Caenorhabditis elegans: one gene and its partners. The protein of the gene in region 1 purifies or fractionates together with the protein of each later gene. This does not show direct contact. Each region holds a gene or a part of one and is shown on either strand. Other genes may lie near its edges. The genes, in order: arx-7, arx-4, arx-2 and arx-5.

Region 1 (3,308 bases):
AAATCCGAAAATCCATTGGTTCTAGTTTTAAATTCAAAAATTCAAACGGCAAATTTTGCCGCCAGAGACGCCAATTCGATTAAAAACAGTTTTTTAAAAGTGTTTTTGGATTTTTTTTTTCGAAAAAAAAATTGCAATTTTTTTTGGGTATTTTGGAAAATTTTTTAGATTTTTAAAAAGTTTGTTACAAATTTTTTGCTCTTTTTTTGAGGAATTTTTTCACTTTAAAATTCGGTATCAGGAGCGTGTCATTTTTGTGCCATTTTTCGAAGTTTTTCGGTGAAAATCGAAAAATCGAAAAAAATGTTCAGAAAATTTACCATAAAATATGATTTTTTATCTAATTTTGTTTATATTGGTAAGAAAAAACATTAAAATTTCTTCTAAAAAGAAGGATAATGGCCAAAATATTAAGCGAATTTTTTTCGAAAATCGGAAAATCGAAAAATCGAAAAACTAACATTTTCGATTTTTTGAAAAAAAAATCGAAAAACTGACACCCTTGATCAGGAGCATAAATAGGGTCTATAAAAAATAAAATTAAATATTTTAATCCAATCTCAATAATTTCCAGATCTTGCCCCATCCAAAAGTGCATTTCGACAGTTTTTGTTCCAGTCTCAATTCAGCCGCCTTCATGTCAACTCGCTTTATTCTCCATTGAAATCCTCTTCCTCACCCACCTCCTGTACACTATTCTGTACTCTCTCTCTCTCTTTCCATTTCCCCAATTATCTTGAATATGCTCGTATTATATCGCATCCATGTAAAATAGATAACTATTGCTCATCATCTTTTCCCCATGTTTTTTTTGGTGTATTTGCTCTTCTGTTTTGTTCTGGTTTTGGATTTTTTTAATTCAAAAAATTCGATTTTTTCTTCTCGGGAAAGGTGAGTTTTCTAGTTTAAAGCCCTTCCCAATCAGAGAATAATCTATTTCTTCTGCTCCCCCATACGGTTCTTTATCGCAAAAAGAACAGTTTTTCTCGGAGATCGGTCCTCTTCTTGAACGGTCTTGAAGGGCCGTTTTAGTCTCATCTCAACCTTCCAAGAAGGGTACGGAGCTTTTTTTCAAATTTTTATTATATATGACTATGGAAAAAGTGCATAAATCGTTCTGTTCACCAAATCTACTCTTTATTGAAAAAAAACACACACAATTTAGCAGATTTTCAGCGGGTTTTCTCACAAAATTGAGGCTTTTTCGTGTTTTTGGCGATAAAAATTGTCGCTTTTAACCGGAAAAGTTGTAAAAAACGCACACATTTTTCAAGAAAAAACTTAGAATTTTTGCCAACTAATGTAATTTTTAAAATTTCCTCTGAAAAATTCAAAATTCCAGCTTCAAAAATTGGAAATTTAAAGTTTTCGCTCGGAAAATTAACAGTTTTGTAAAATTTTCAAATTTTTTAGCTCCAAAATATGGGGATTTACTAAAAAATTGATGTATTTGTTTCAAAAATTGGAAATTTGGAAAAATTCGAAAAAACCCCAATTTTTGAAGGTTTTGCTTGAAAATCATAGAAATTAATTTCAGGAGCTTCTAGAAATAATGGCATCCAAGAATAAATAGCGTTTATTTGGTACGAATATTCCCAAAACGCTGTTTCTCGCCAATTTTTCAGAGTTTTCGACGAAAATGGCGATAAAAGTCCCAAAATGGAGGAGTTTTCGATAAAATTAAATGAATCTAATCCCGAATAATTGTTTCTCACTTTTTTTCAAAAGGAAAATTCACATTAAAACACTCTTTTTTTCGAGATATTTATTAATTTTAATAAAACCAAAAAAAAAAAAAAAAAATTAACTACGAAGCTCCGTAATTCCGCATGCGCGTGTTGTTTAGTGCCACTGTGTACTCTTCTCGGACAAGCTAACCGATTTATTTTTCTTTCGCAATTTTCAAATCCACCGCGCCACATTTTCATTTAAAAATCTCTTGTTTCAGATAGGAAAAAATGTCGAAAAACATGCAAAACACCTCGTACCGAAAGCTGGATGTGGACTCTTTCGACCCGGAACAGTACGATGAGAATGACGAGAGTGAGTCATTTGTGTACTTAAGGCGCGCGGAAATTATTGATTTTTCGTGTGCATTTGAATAAATAATTTGTTATTTAATTTTAGCAGTCGATACTCCTGGACTTGGACCCGATGAGCGCGCGGTTCAGGGATTTTTGAGCTCGAATCGGCTTGAGGATGCTCTTCATGCGGCTCTTCTCTCCCCGCCACTTAAAACCAAAGATCAGGTGAGATTTAATAAGCTTATTTGGGCTTAGGCATAGGCCTAGGCCTAGGTTTTGGCTTAAGCTGGCCAGGGAAGAGACAGAAAGAAAAATTTTCAATTTCAGAACGTAAAAGACCGCGCCACACAGCTCGTCACAAAAGTTCTGCAATCCTTCAAAAACGCGGAAATCGAGGCGACTGTCCAGAAGCTTTCGATAGAAGAAAGTGATATTCTCATGAAATACGTCTACAAATCAATGGAAATCGGCGCCGACGCGGCCGTCTGTCAGTCTTTGCTCGCGTGGCACGCTCAACTCGTCGCAAAATTCGGTCACGGAGCCATTATGCGTGTCTTCTCCGGTCGCCAACGTCTCTGATTTATTCCCGAATCGTTGTGTTTGCTGTGATATTCATTCCCCCATCGCTCTCCACATGTTTCTTGTGAATTTTGAATATTTTTTGTTTCGCCTTAAGCTTTATGATGATATTTATTTTAATTCTTTCTGATATTCGAAAAAGTTTTTGAAAGATAAATTAAAGCACCACGGAATAGTATCTATCACACGATTGAAAATGGCATCACGAATTGAAAAATAACAATTAAAAATCTGAAAAAAATTATTTAAGCAGATTCGTCGTCGGATAACTTCCGGGAAGAGATCGATTCGATTTCCTGGTGATTTCTTTTTCCAGGAAATTTTCGGAATTCAAATGCCATAAGATGACTGGAAATCGAGAGAAGTAGCAGAAGAGCAAGAGAAATGCACATTGAAACGATGAATTGAGAAATGCTCATACCAATATCCAACCAGCTACCCTCATCTCGAAGTTGGTGGAAGAAACACTGAAAATGCACGGGGTTTTAGGCGGAATTAATCTCAAACAAATTTTTACTGAAAAAATCGGGAATTTTTTTATTCGAAATTAAATATGTTGATTAATTTTGATTAAAATATTCAAGTTTTCCAAAAAAATGTTTCAAATTTACCAAAAAAAAATCTTTCTCGCTTTTTCATCTTTTTATCAAAACAAGTTTTTTTTTCGAAAAAAAACATTTTTTAATTTCCGAAAAAAAATATTTT
Region 2 (5,165 bases), on another chromosome or scaffold:
GATTTTCGCGAGCAAATATCCTGGAAAAGTGATCGAAATCGAGATAACCGTTCTTTCGGATGATGGTGGTGTTCTTTCAACTGCACTTTCAGCTGTCACACTAGCCATTTCTCATTCTGGAATTGAAAATATGGGATTAATGGCCAGTGTTCATGTGGCAATGAATTCTGATGGAGAATGCTTGACGGATCCATCAACTTCCGAATCCGAAGGAGCCATCGGTGGCGTCACATTCGCTTTCGTTCCGAATCTTGGCCAAACAACGTGTGTGGACATTTACGGACGAATCCCTCTCAAATCCACGTCATCACTTTTGGAATTTGCGAAGCAAAGAGCGTGTGCTCTGGTTCCGACGATTCATAAGGCAATTGTGAACAGTGTGCGAGAGAGAAAATAAATGTGTTGACAATTTTTAAATTTATCTCTCATTCCGAATATCTAATTTAGAAAAAAAAGTTTTTGCCCGATTATTTGAAAATACATTTTTCCGTCTAAATTGAACATTAAATAGAAATATAAAATTGAATTCGACAAAATTTTTTTTGAAAATATTTTTTAGTTCGTGATTTCAAGCTGAAATATAAAAAAACAGATATTCAAAATATCATGCTCAAAAAAAATATGGAAAAAAGAAATATCTTCGTTTGCATTAAATTTTTTTCGAATTCTTGAAAATTTTTTTCGAATTCTTGAGAATGAGAATTTGAAAAAAAAAATCTCAAGCGAAAATATTGAACATTTCCATATTTTTGAGCATGATATTTTGAATATCGGTTTTTTTTTATTTTAGCTCGAAATCACGAATTTCAAAAATTTGTCAAAATTAACATTACCGAATTCACAAGTTTAAAAAGGATTAAAAATTAACATTACCGAATTCACAAGTTTAAAAAGGATTAAACTTGTGAATTCGGTAAAGTTAATTTTGACAAATTTTTGAAATTCGTGATTTCGAGCTAAAATATAAAAAAAAACCGATATTCAAAATATCATGCTCGAAAATATGGAAATGTTCAATATTTTCGCTTGAGATTTTTTTTTCAAATTCTCAAGAATTCGAAAAAAAAATTTTTATTTTTAAAACGCTCAATTTAGACGGGAAAATGTATTTTTCAAAATCGGACGAAAACTTCTTTTTTTTCTAAATTAGATATTCGCCGATACATTTTCTAAAAATTCAATTAATTATCCCCGATTTCACTTCAAATGCACCCCCTTCCATCTTTAATGAATGGGAGGAAAGAGCGCTCCACTGCACACAGATTCTTTGAGTAAATATAATACTGTTTAGTCACCTTCCCTTTTGCCTTCTCCGTCGTTTCTTTCTCATTTCTTTCTTGTTGATTTTGTTGTTGTTTCCCTTTTCATTTTGTTCAACCGTCGTGGTTTTCACAGTTTTCCTTCATTTTAAATACAATGAATTCAGAATTCTCTATGCATTTAATACCCTTCTTATTCCGTCGCTGGTCGCGGTTTTGTATTTTAATTCCTTTTTAATTGTTTTTGTACATTTCTCTCTCTATTTTCTACACTTTCAGAAAAATGATCATTTTGGAGCAAAACAACCGAATTATCGTGGAACTTCTCGAGCAAAAATTTGCAAACGCGAAGGAAGGGTTGGTTTTTTTTTGAATTTTAAACGTATTTTTGTAATTTTGAAAGAAAACATAACTGCATAATTTTCCTTTATTTTTAAATTAAAAACATTACCTTTCCGAAATTATTACGGAAATTTCGTTATTTTTTCAAACGTTTGTTGAAAACAATACCAAGAAAAAGTAAACTTGTGTGCGGTTTTCCCGTAGATATAGGTCTCGCCACGAATTTAGCATTTTCAGGCTTTAAAAAGTGTATGTTTTTATAAAGAGTATAGTAATTTCTCCATGGTTCTTCAACTGAAGTGCCAGAGAAACAACGATGTGTGTGAGAGTAATGTACTTTTTGAAGGCACATAGCGTTAAATTGAAAATGATTTGATCGTGGCGAGACCTTAATATATTGTTACTCTCACTAATAATCACCTTTTTCAGTGGAAAACCAGAGTCGGTCAACGTGACATTCGCCGATTTTGACGGAGTTCTCTACAAACTTTCGAATCCAGATGGCGATAGAACCAAGATAATTGTTAGAAACTTTTTCACAGTCTAATAATTTTTAAAACTAATTTTCAGCTGAGCATCTCGCTAAAATTCTACACGGAACTGCAGCAACACGGAGCGGATGATGTATGTCGCCGCTTTTTTCTGATGAATATTTGATTTTCCAAAATTTCCAGCTCCTTCGTCGTGTGTACGGTGGTCATATGCGTTCAACTCCGGAACAAGGATTTAATGTCACTCTGGAATACAATTTGGCCGATCTTCCGGCAGATACAACGGATTTGGTGCAGGCAGCTTCTGCTTTGAAGAGAAATTGTTTTGCTTCAGTCTTTGAAAAGTATTTCGAATTCCAAGAGGCCGGCCAGGAGGGGCATAAGAGAGCTGTTATTAATTATAGAGATGATGAGACAATGTGAGTACCGGTTGTGTTATGGCGTTATTCGAGAAGTGTCGAAAAATTTAAAAGTGTAGAAAAACTACGCCACAACTGTTTTAAAATACATAAAAACATGTATTTTAATACAGTTGTGGCGTCATAAATGTTTTTGAACACATTTTGCAAAATTACTTGATTAACCCCATTAAACGAGGAAAGTTGAAAAATGTTCAATATTATAAAGATTTGTTCAATTAAAATAATTTCACAGAGAAAGGCTGAAAAGTGGCGTTTTTATTCCAGTTTTCGTGGATTTTCAGAGAATTTGATTTATTATTTAACTATCAAAAGATATAAAAATTTTCGATTTTTTCATATTTCGAAAAAATTCCAAGTTTGCCGGAATTTTTCAATTCCTGCACTTTGCCGTTTTGCCGGTTTTCCGCCCACCCCTGAATCGACTCTCTACAATTTTTCAAATAAATAATTTATTATTAGGTCTCCAAATAAGTTCCGGGTCAAAAATCATAACTTTGTTCGCTGCGAATCGATTTTTATGAAATTGTGGGAATTTATGTTATCAACCATGATCTTTCATTTGACAATAGTCACAAAATTTTTTGGCCGTCCGAAGTGCCCGTACTCATAGCCAATTTTTTCAGGCATTTTTCAGATCTCGCTTCTTTTCAGGTTTCAACTAAGGTTTGTGTGCGGATATTGCTTAGTTTAGTACACAATGTAAGAGAACAAGAAAAGTTTGAAAAAAATCCGTCCAAAAAAATTTTTTTGTCGATCGTCAAAAAATCTTCAAAAAATTTTTTGTCGAAAATTCTTAATTTTTCATACAAAAATGATGTAACCATGTGCAAACTATTTTTACACATACAAAAAATTTCAATTTAGTGCGTCTCACTAAAAAAAAATAACAAAAAACACAGCTTTTTCGAACTATTTTCGAGTTTTTGGAGTATTTCTCAAGATCCAAATTTCATACTCAAATGTTTTGTATGTGTAAAAATAGTTTGCACATGGTTACATCATTTTTGTATAAAAATTCAAGAATTTTCGACAAAAATTTTTTTGTAGATTTTTTGACGAGCGACAAAAAAAATTTTTTTGGACGGATTTTTTTTCAAACTTTTCTTGTTTTCTTACATTGTGTACTTAATTAAGCAATATCCGCACACAAACCTCAGTTGAAACCTGAAAAGAAGCGAGATCTGAAAATGCCTGAAAAAATTGGCTCCGAGTACGGACACTTCGGACGGCCAAAAAATTTTGTGACTATTGTCAAATGAAAGATCATGGTTGATAACATAAATTCCCAAAGTTTCATAAAAATCGATTCGCAGCGAACAAAGTTATGATTTTTGACCCGGAACTTATTTGGAGATCTAATAATAATCACAAATTTGCCATTTTCTCTGAAAAATAGTAAGAATTAATAAAAAAGTGTTTTTCACTTTTTCAATACGCACAAATTTCTTATTTTTTGAACAAAAAATTCTGAAAAACAGTACTTTTTAATTGTAATACTGCAAATAATATACTTTAAACCCCAATGATTTTCAGGTACATTGAAGCGAAAGCGGATCGTGTGACCGTAATCTTCAGTACAGTTTTCAAGGACGCTGACGATGTGATAATCGGAAAAGTGTTCCTTCAAGAATTCCGTGAAGGCCGAAAAGCCAGTCAAACTGCTCCAGCAGTACTCTACTCACTCGGTGAACCACCTTTGGAGCTTAAAGATCTTCCAGAAGCCCGTGTTGGAGACAATGTTGGATACATTACATTTGTGTTGTTCCCACGTCACACAAATAAGAAGACAAAAGACAATACGATTGATTTGATTCATTCGTTCCGTGACTATCTTCATTATCATATCAAATGTTCCAAAGTCTACCTTCACACCAGAATGCGTGCCAAGACCACTGATTTCTTGAAGGTTCTCAATCGGGCACGTCCAGAGGTCAAAGGAGAAAAGAAGACGTTCCATGGAAGAACTTTTCAGACCCAATAAATGTACAAATTATCACAATTGTTACCAAATATTTTTTTTCTGTTTTCGCTTTAAAACCTTATTTATTGCTTTGATTGTAAAATGTTCTTATGAGGTTCGTGAAATTTTGATATGAAATGAATTATTGCAGTAAAATGGAGAGCGATAGTTAAGGCACAATTTGTGGAATGATATCAATTACTATCCGATTTCAAAGAAGAAAAACATGGACGGGCTGAAAATGCATAGGGATCGGAGGAGAGAGAGGAGAACAGGTATTCAGGTAGACCCTAGTAGTTTGACCTACGAAACTTGCGGGAATGGTGTTTACGCGTCATGGCAAACAACGAGGAGTCCACCTGAACACATGTAATGTAATAATGAAGAAATCTCCTAAAAATCATAAAAATTTTCAAATATTATCATTTGGAGCAATTTTACGGGCCTCTAAAGTAGTGAAAAAAAAAACACTATTCAGCTCGATTTTTATCCAGTTCAAAGTGTTTTTTTGCCGGCCTATTTAGGAGGTACTCTTTTAACATAGATTTCATCCAGAAGTCGGGGTTAACTTGAAATACTTCCCTTGTTCTCTCACATGATCTAAAATACTCATTCACATCTTTTAGTTGTCCTGCAAATACGCTTCACATTTTTTTTCTTCAATTTTTTGCAATTCATGTATGCTGAATTC
Region 3 (5,227 bases), on another chromosome or scaffold:
AATGATTTTTTTGATCGGATTGATCTACCACTATTATTTCAAAATAATTGATAACGCCAACCACGTTGAAAAAGGAACTCAACTTTATATGAAATGACCATGAAACCAACATACCTTTTGCCTTTTCAAGTGTCTGCCAAACAATTTTCCTTCTACTTTTGTTAATTTCGTAGTCATCATCGTTTCCAGTATCACGGTCACGTGGATAGTGAATTAAAAGAAGATCTACATAACTGAAAATAGAAATAATTCTGATGATAACTCAACAAATATTTTCCTACTCGGTTTGCAAAGTTGCAAGGGAATTGGCTAGTTGTTTCTCAGTTTCCTCCACAGTATTTTCATTGAGAGTACGAACTTTAGTAGTGATGAACACATCTTCACGTGTCAAGCCAAATTGTGGTAGATATTTCTAAAATTTTAGAGGTTTGAATAGTTTTTCAGAAATCAGTTTAAATTTACCTTCAGGGAATTACCAAGAAACGTTTCGTTTTTGTAGAGATTGGCTGTGTCAAATTGACGATATCCAGATTTCAGAGCGGCTTCAATAGAGACATCTAAATCTTGTTGAGTTTCAATTCGAGAGATTCCAAGACCAATTTTTGGCATTTCGTATCCATCGGAAAACTTGAATGCACCACCAACAACATTTGTGAAAACACTCATAGTCTGAAAATACATTTAAATGAGATAAAAGAATATAAAAATGGCAAGAAATGAAGAATAGAGGACATTAAATATAAATAAGAGATAGGTAGAGGAGGAGGGGGACAGTTCAACAAACAATGGAAGTTTCATTGAACAATTTTTGAAAGTTAAGATGTGATGTTTGTTGTAATTTACACTATTCAATGGTAATTCATAGACTTTGAACGAAGCGTTCGATCATTGAAACACTCTCTTTGCGAAGTTTGTATTTAGAGTTCAATAAGTTTACTAAACAGAGAAAAATTGAATTAACAGAAGAATGACGTTATATTGTGATCATTTCCAATCACGATAGGAACACTACCATATACACATGACCTATCCTAGTTGTTATGTTGTCTCTTCCCATTTTTCTTAAAATTAACTGAGAAATTAAAATTTTGGATGTGAGGAAGAGCCTTTATTATAAAAAGCCATGTTTCATGTGGAAATAATTCGGTACAATCCATATCGCAACTTATTTATTACAGATGTTGAAAATGTTTTTTTACATAAATATTCAGAAATTTCTACCAAAAACTAATCACACAAGTAAAAAAAATCATAAATATGGTAAACATGTAAATAAAAATAAATGTTATAAATAAAACTAATAAAATAATAAAAAAAACAAAGGTTCATGATTTAGATTTTTTAAATCTGTTTTTACACTACGATACTCTTGCTGCAAATCTGCTCCATCGACAACCAATTCCCTGCGTCTCCACTATAGACAGAACTGTCATGTTTTTATTTCAATAGAATTTCCTTATTTCTTTTCTGTATATTTTAATCTTATAATTGTTTTCGTATTCTATGAAGAACATAAAAATTCTCGCGAAATTGTAGAAACATTTTTCCATCGACTTCCGCGTATTTTGACGGCGATCTCCACTAAATATAGTCAGATTTACTTTCCAGAAACCCTCGTTCATTAAATTAAAATCTAAGTAATGTAAAATATTGCTTAAATGTTCGTACTTTGTTCTATTTTAAGCCAACTAAGACAGTGTCAAAACGAAATTTTTACCGGTTTCATCGATTGGCAAGCAAATTTGCTATTTATTTACTTTTCTTCTCTTTATGACTCATTCGAAACCCGCACAATCGATTTAACAATTTTCAGGCGAAATGGATTCGCAAGGGCGAAAGGTGATTGTCGTTGACAACGGAACAGGTGTAAGTTGCAAAATTTTATCCCATTTTATTTTCAAAAATTCTGTATTTGCAGTTCGTCAAATGCGGGTATGCAGGAACCAATTTCCCAGCTCATATATTCCCTTCAATGGTCGGTCGGCCAATCGTGAGATCGACACAAAGAGTTGGAAATATTGAAATTAAGGTAAAACTTTACACAGAAAGGTCTTATAACTGTTTTCTCACAGGATTTGATGGTTGGCGAGGAGTGCTCTCAGCTTCGTCAAATGCTTGATATCAATTATCCCATGGACAACGGAATTGTTAGAAACTGGGATGATATGGCGCATGTATGGGATCATACTTTTGGACCGGAAAAGTTGGATATCGACCCGAAAGAGTGTAAACTGCTGCTGACAGAACCACCACTCAATCCGAACAGCAATCGTGAGAAAATGTTTCAAGTTATGTTTGAGCAGTATGGATTCAATTCTATCTATGTGGCGGTTCAGGTAATAGTTAATCCTCATGATAAAATCATAATGATTATATTTTCAGGCTGTGCTCACTCTTTATGCTCAAGGTCTTTTGACAGGAGTTGTAGTTGACTCCGGAGATGGTGTTACCCACATCTGTCCTGTTTACGAAGGATTTGCTCTTCATCATTTGACAAGACGATTGGATATTGCAGGAAGAGATATTACCAAGTATCTTATCAAGGTAAGTTTTTAAATGTTACATATTAATTCAATTATTTTCCTGATTGCTATAGTGACAAAATATGGTTTATTAGAAACTAACATATATTTGTTTTCAGCTTCTTCTGCAACGTGGATACAACTTCAATCACTCTGCTGACTTTGAAACTGTTCGCCAAATGAAGGAAAAGCTTTGTTACATTGCATATGATGTTGAGCAAGAAGAACGTTTGGCACTAGAGACTACAGTTCTTTCTCAACAATACACTCTTCCTGATGGTCGTGTGATTCGTCTCGGAGGTGAACGATTCGAAGCTCCAGAAATTCTATTCCAACCACATCTGATTAATGTTGAAAAAGCTGGTCTCTCGGAACTTCTTTTCGGATGTATTCAAGCCAGTGATATAGGTATTTCAAAAATGAAATTGTGCATTTCCATTATAAATCCCTTTTATAGATACTCGCCTTGATTTCTACAAGCATATCGTACTTTCCGGTGGAACCACTATGTATCCAGGATTGCCCAGCCGTCTTGAGAAGGAACTGAAACAGCTGTATTTGGATCGCGTATTGCATGGAAATACTGACGCGTTCCAGGTAACGAATTTCCGAAAATTCGGCCACAAGGATATTGCCGGAATAATGTTGAGACTAGGCAATTGTCAAAATGCCGATCGCTGAGTTTTTCAAAATTCAGCAGTTGTCAAAGTTTCGAATTATCAAAAATAAATTCCAATTACCGAATAGAAAATTGAAAATATTCAGGTCGTTTTGAGTTATATTTCTTCATCAAAAACACATTTACTACAGTAGAAATTGATTTTTTTTGTTAATTTTTATAGTTATTTTTTCTAATAGTTTTGAACCCGGTAATTGCCGAAATTTTTTGTCGCCGAATTTCTAAATTTTCGAAAATTTTTATAACTCGAAAATTTCTGAAAATTTTTTATTTTCGCCCACTATGGCTGTCTTTTTTTTAATCAAAAAAAATCGATTAAAGATTAGTTTCAAAACAGTTGGTAGTAGAATTGAAATTTTTTCCACAAATAATTATCAATCAAAAAGTAAAAAGTTTTTTTGAAAAAAAAAAAACAATTTTTATGTAATGCCAATTTTTGAATGGGAAGTATTACGAAAGCACAAATTTCTGAAAATGCGTATCGCGAAATATATTTTACGCGCAAAATATCTCGTAGCGAACACTACAGTAATCCTTTGTATGACTACTATAGTTCTTGTGTAGATTCAAGAGCTCGATTAGCTGAGTTGAATCATTTATTTATTGATAGAACATTATTAAAGTTAAGAAAACAGATCAAAAAGAAATTCATTTTAAAAATCAAGCTCATTAAACTAGACAATGTTAAAGGATTACTGTAGTTTTCGCTATGAAATATTTTGCGCGTCAAATATGTTGCACTCTACGCATTCCCAGATATTTGTGTTCCTGTAGTAGTTTTACTTTTGGTTATTTGACCATTCCTTTTAAGAATGGCGCTTTTGGTCGTCAATGACGATTTGATGATGTGTTAACTAAATGCATTTGATTTCTTCGTGTGAGGTCTCCTAAAAGAACACTCACTCAACATCTTAGTTTTCCGCCCCATCACCCCAGTGTTTACTTACATCCTTCTTTAGTGGGCGTGGCTACGACCTTGAAAAAATTACCAGCAATGTTCCAATTTATTTATTTTCAGAAATTCAAAATCCGTATAGAAGCCCCACCAAGCCGTAAGCACATGGTTTTCCTTGGAGGAGCTGTTCTTGCAAATCTGATGAAGGATCGTGATCAAGATTTTTGGGTTTCAAAGAAAGAATATGAAGAGGGTGGTATTGCAAGATGTATGGCCAAACTTGGAATCAAAGCTTAAATATTGTGACTTTATTTTCGTGTTAACATGTTTAAAAGTGCTTTATGTTCATTTATCCCCGTTTCTCTGAATTCTCTTAAAATCCCCTACCTGTTAACTAATTTATTCTTTATAGGCATCCTATTCTCCCCCACTCTCATTCAAACGTTTATCTTTCAAACCAACAACCACCTGAATCCATCATTCTCTGTTGTAAATACATTTTCCACTTTGAATTCATTCACTTCTTCAACTTACTTTTGGTTTGAAATTGAATTGCGTCACCTCTTATTCCTTCTTCCATTTTTCCATTAAATGAAACCGAAATCATCCAGCAAAAGGGCATTAGAAAAAGAGACAAACGACGACATTGATGACCCGCATTTGATACACGGATACTCTACCACCTGATAACGGATAATTGTTATCTTCAGGCCCGTGTCCTCCTCTATTTCAACTACTTTCATCCGAAATACTCCTTTATTTGCGACATTCGGATTTTTTCTTTCCAACTCATTTATTAACTGATTCATATAATCACATTTAAATCTTTTCAATTCATTTATTTTAATTGGTTTCTCTTTCTTTCCAAAAGGTCCACATAAATCAGTGGTCGATGAAATCGTCAGAAGCGACCGGCACTTCTAAAATGGTGTCGTTTTAGTGTCCTTTCATCGCCTGACCAACCTATCAAACGGGGAGGTCTCGTCTGTGTTGAAGCCAAATTGGAACTTTTTATAGCTGCTTTACTCTCAGAATAGTTTAAACTTTTTTGTTTATTGAACCGTCGGTGAACCTATGTTTTTTGGATTTCGATTCTCGATCAGTTGTGAAAAAATGAAAATTATTATTTTT
Region 4 (3,400 bases), on another chromosome or scaffold:
AAATGTGAAATAATTTTATGATTTTTAAAATTTGAAAAAAAAAATTTTTCAACAAAAAAATCAAAGAAACTTGCAAATTTTAGTTTCTTTGATTTTTTTTTTTTGAAATATAATTTATTTCGTGTAAAGTGAACGAAACTTACTGATTTTTCAATTTTTAAAATAATAAAATACCCAAATTTACACGAAAAAACACATTTTAATTTAAAAAAACCGAAGAAAATGAAGAAAACTGGTTTAAAAAACCGAATTTGGCTGCAAAAAAACCCCTCGTAAATCGACATGGCATGGCGCGCTCCAATGAGAATTTTTCTGGCGCGAGTTTGAAAATTGTTTCGCGCTTTCAAGCTGAAATATAAGATTTTTGAAATTTTTTGAATTTTTTTAAAACAAAATATGGGAAATTTGGAGTAATTTGAAAATTTAAAAAATCAAAAAAATGATTTTTTTATTAAAAAAAAAAGTTTTTTTCAGGATTTCCAATGGCGTGCCGGCTGGGGTGTTCTCAAGGCCAATATGCTTTTCGTGTACAATAAAACCGAAGAGGAGACGTCGGCTCCTCCATTTTTACTACTAATTATTGAAGACTGTTTTATCGAATTATGTGATGAGAATAAGATTGGCAAGGATTTCACTTTTGAAATCAAATTCAAATCGTGCGTTTTTTCCGGGTCTCAACACGAAAAATTAATACTAAATTCCAAAAAAAAACTGAATTTTTATCGGTTTTATCGAAAATCGATGAAAAATCGATTGAAAATTCCTAAAATTATCCGATTTTTTTCCAGAACTGCTCGAAGCTTCATCTTCGCCGCCGACTCGTTCAAATCGCTGGGACGTTGGGTTTCGCTGCTCACAATCTCCCCGATCGACTATATACAGCTCTCGAAACAAAGTTTTCATGAGCAAATCGAGCAAACTCAGAAGAAAGCGATGAGGGATTGATTTTTATACATTTTGCACATTTTCACTGTGATATTTTGACTTATTGATTATAAATCATACATTTTTAACGTTTTTTGCTTTGTTTTGCAGCTGGAATTTCCCTGAATTTATCGTTTTTTTCGCAAAAAATCGCGAAATTTCATTAAAAATTTCCAAACGATGCTCCGATATTCCGATGTCGCGCCTTGTTTACCGTAAACTTACACGAGATTATTATTTATTTTTCCGTTCCTGGAGAGAATTTCATCAGAAAAAACGTTTAAAAAGCAGAAAATCTTTGATTTTTTCCAATTTTTCTTAAATATCTGATTATAGGAAACTTGTAAGCTGATATTAATCATATTAATTCCAAGTTTTCATATATTTTAACACGAATTTCCGAATAAAAGTGTATTTTCGGGTTTTACTTTAATTTTCGCGTCCGCAACGACATTATCGCTTCAAAAACTGCATTTTTATCGAATAAAATACTTATATTTTAATTTAAAACTCGAATTTCACAATTTATCGATTTTTTTTCGCAGCCGCAGTGACTCATTATGTACTTACCCCCCCCCCCCCTCGGGTATCCGAAAATAAGCCGTTTTCTATGCATTTTTCCAAACAAAACACTTATTTTTCAGTGAAATGCCGGCATACCACTCAAAATTCGACACTGAACTCAAAGTTTTGCCATTGGGCAACACAAATATGGGAAAACTTCCGATTCGAACCAATTTCAAGGGTCCAGCGCCTCGTAAGTCTTCAAAAATTGATTGAAAAAACCTATATTATATATTAAAATTATTGCAGAAACCAATCAGGATGACATCATCGACGAAGCGCTCACCTACTTCAAGCCGAACATCTTTTTCCGCGAATTTGAGGTTGATTTTCGAGATTTTTCCCTATTAAAATTGAGAAATTTTCAGATCAAAGGTCCCGCGGACCGTACAATGATCTATCTCATCTTCTACATCACCGAGTGCCTCAGAAAATTGCAAAAAGTACGGATTTTGCACGAAAAAAACCTACTTTTTAGATTGAAAAATAAGAAAAAAAGACCCAAACATACCGAATTTCAATGGATATTTTGAACATTCCTACCGAAAACAGATTTTTTTAAGTAGAAAATTTCAAATTCGAAACATTTTCGATTTTCTCTGAAAAAATCCCAAATTCTTTCAATTTTCTCTGAAAAATCCACAAATTTTAAGGTTTTCTCTGAAAAAATCGAATTTTTTTGGTTTTTCCCTGAAAAAAATCTAAAAATTGTTTAATATTCCCTGAAAATTCCAAAATTTTTCTGGTTTTCCCTGAAAAAATCCGAAAATTTTTCGATTTTCACTGAAAAAATCCGAAATTTTTCCGATTTTCTTCGGAGAAATCCAACTTTTTTTTTTCTCAAAATTTTGGAAATTATAAAAAAAAATTCTAGTTACAAAATTCGGTCTTTTCGGGCTATTTTGAGTGAAATAAAGCGTAAAAACATGTTTTTTTTTTGCAAATTTTTTCAAATTTTCAGAGCCCAAACAAGATAGCCGGCCAAAAGGATCTTCACGCCTTGGCTCTCAGTCATTTGCTTCCAATTCCCGGTGAAAATGGATTCCCACTGAACAGCATGTACAAGGCGCCCCAATCGAAACCGGACGAGGACGAAATGCGTGCCTATTTGCAACAAATTCGCCAAGAAATCGGCGCCCGTCTGTGTGATCTCGCGTTCCCGGATCCCCAAGATCGTCCGAGCAAGTGGTGGCTCTGTTTCGCGAGAAGACGATTCATGGACAAGGGGCTCGTTGGACAGGGTGTTAATTTGTGAATTATCGATTAATTATTGTTGTATCTGGCTCAAAATTTTTTCACTTTTCCCATTTTTTTTTCCATGTAATTATATTTATATTGCGTCCAGTTTTACTTTTTGTGCTGCTTTAAAATATTCATTAAAATTCCGATTTCATCATTTTATTACGGTAACGCAACATATTTTGCGCGCGTCAAATATGTTGTGCGCGAAATACGCGAAATCTCTATGCTCTACCGATAATTTGTCTGCTTGGATCCCATCACTGACAACAAAAACGCCACGGTATCGTGTACGACTTCTGGAGCAGTTATCTGGCAACGTGCCAAGTGACTTCGAACCTCTTCGGGAAGTTGGGAGACTGGAAGAGCCTGGAAATTGAGAAAAATTGAAAATTTTAAGATTTTCTCCGAGAAAATTGGAAAATAGTCGAATTTTTTTCAGAAAACCCCAAATATAGGCCTTTTTTATTAGAAAATCGAAAAATTTTCAGGTTTTTTCAAATAAAATCGGGAAAAAAACTATTAATTTCCCGTAATTTTCCAAGATTTCCGTCTTAAAGGCGCACAGATTTGTTCAGATGGGTCTCGGCGCGCAAAAAAGTTTATGGTACTTTTTTTTCTTTTTTCCTGTTAAAAATTGTTTTAAATCAGTTTTTTTGCCGTTTTCCAGTCA

What was found.
Region 2: the proteins of arx-7 (region 1) and arx-4 fractionate together in Caenorhabditis elegans (co-fractionation; one large-scale study listed by BioGRID). This does not show direct contact.
Region 3: the proteins of arx-7 (region 1) and arx-2 fractionate together in Caenorhabditis elegans (co-fractionation; one large-scale study listed by BioGRID). This does not show direct contact.
Region 4: the proteins of arx-7 (region 1) and arx-5 fractionate together in Caenorhabditis elegans (co-fractionation; one large-scale study listed by BioGRID). This does not show direct contact.

Annotation. Positions count from the first base shown.
Region 1 is NC_003279.8:3,068,791-3,072,098, reverse strand, and holds arx-7 (Actin-related protein 2/3 complex subunit 5), read left to right. Parts: upstream 1-1,948; 5' UTR 1,949-1,958; coding exon 1,959-2,043; intron 2,044-2,127; coding exon 2,128-2,249; intron 2,250-2,351; coding exon 2,352-2,603; 3' UTR 2,604-2,774; downstream 2,775-3,308. Other genes in the region: pign-1 (GPI ethanolamine phosphate transferase 1), read right to left, coding at 2,849-3,070.
Region 2 is NC_003281.10:860,768-865,932, forward strand, and holds arx-4 (putative actin-related protein 2/3 complex subunit 2), read left to right. Parts: upstream 1-1,538; 5' UTR 1,539-1,542; coding exon 1,543-1,616; intron 1,617-2,030; coding exon 2,031-2,124; intron 2,125-2,171; coding exon 2,172-2,225; intron 2,226-2,275; coding exon 2,276-2,511; intron 2,512-4,047; coding exon 4,048-4,495; 3' UTR 4,496-4,629; downstream 4,630-5,165. Other genes in the region: exos-4.2 (Exoribonuclease phosphorolytic domain-containing protein), read left to right, coding at 1-397. UniProt on the Caenorhabditis elegans protein: Functions as actin-binding component of the Arp2/3 complex which is involved in regulation of actin polymerization and together with an activating nucleation-promoting factor (NPF) mediates the formation of branched actin networks.
Region 3 is NC_003283.11:10,334,942-10,340,168, reverse strand, and holds arx-2 (Actin-related protein 2), read left to right. Parts: upstream 1-1,813; 5' UTR 1,814-1,818; coding exon 1,819-1,866; intron 1,867-1,918; coding exon 1,919-2,029; intron 2,030-2,072; coding exon 2,073-2,336; intron 2,337-2,382; coding exon 2,383-2,544; intron 2,545-2,641; coding exon 2,642-2,930; intron 2,931-2,979; coding exon 2,980-3,119; intron 3,120-4,219; coding exon 4,220-4,393; 3' UTR 4,394-4,706; downstream 4,707-5,227. Other genes in the region: K07C5.2 (NADP-dependent oxidoreductase domain-containing protein), read right to left, coding at 115-233, 282-412, 463-666.
Region 4 is NC_003281.10:12,816,269-12,819,668, reverse strand, and holds arx-5 (putative actin-related protein 2/3 complex subunit 3), read left to right. Parts: upstream 1-1,568; 5' UTR 1,569-1,572; coding exon 1,573-1,681; intron 1,682-1,737; coding exon 1,738-1,811; intron 1,812-1,856; coding exon 1,857-1,931; intron 1,932-2,449; coding exon 2,450-2,743; 3' UTR 2,744-2,880; downstream 2,881-3,400. Other genes in the region: Y37D8A.25 (PH domain-containing protein), read left to right, coding at 475-656, 789-945; BE10.4 (DUF148 domain-containing protein), read right to left, coding at 2,959-3,096. UniProt on the Caenorhabditis elegans protein: Functions as a component of the Arp2/3 complex which is involved in regulation of actin polymerization and together with an activating nucleation-promoting factor (NPF) mediates the formation of branched actin networks.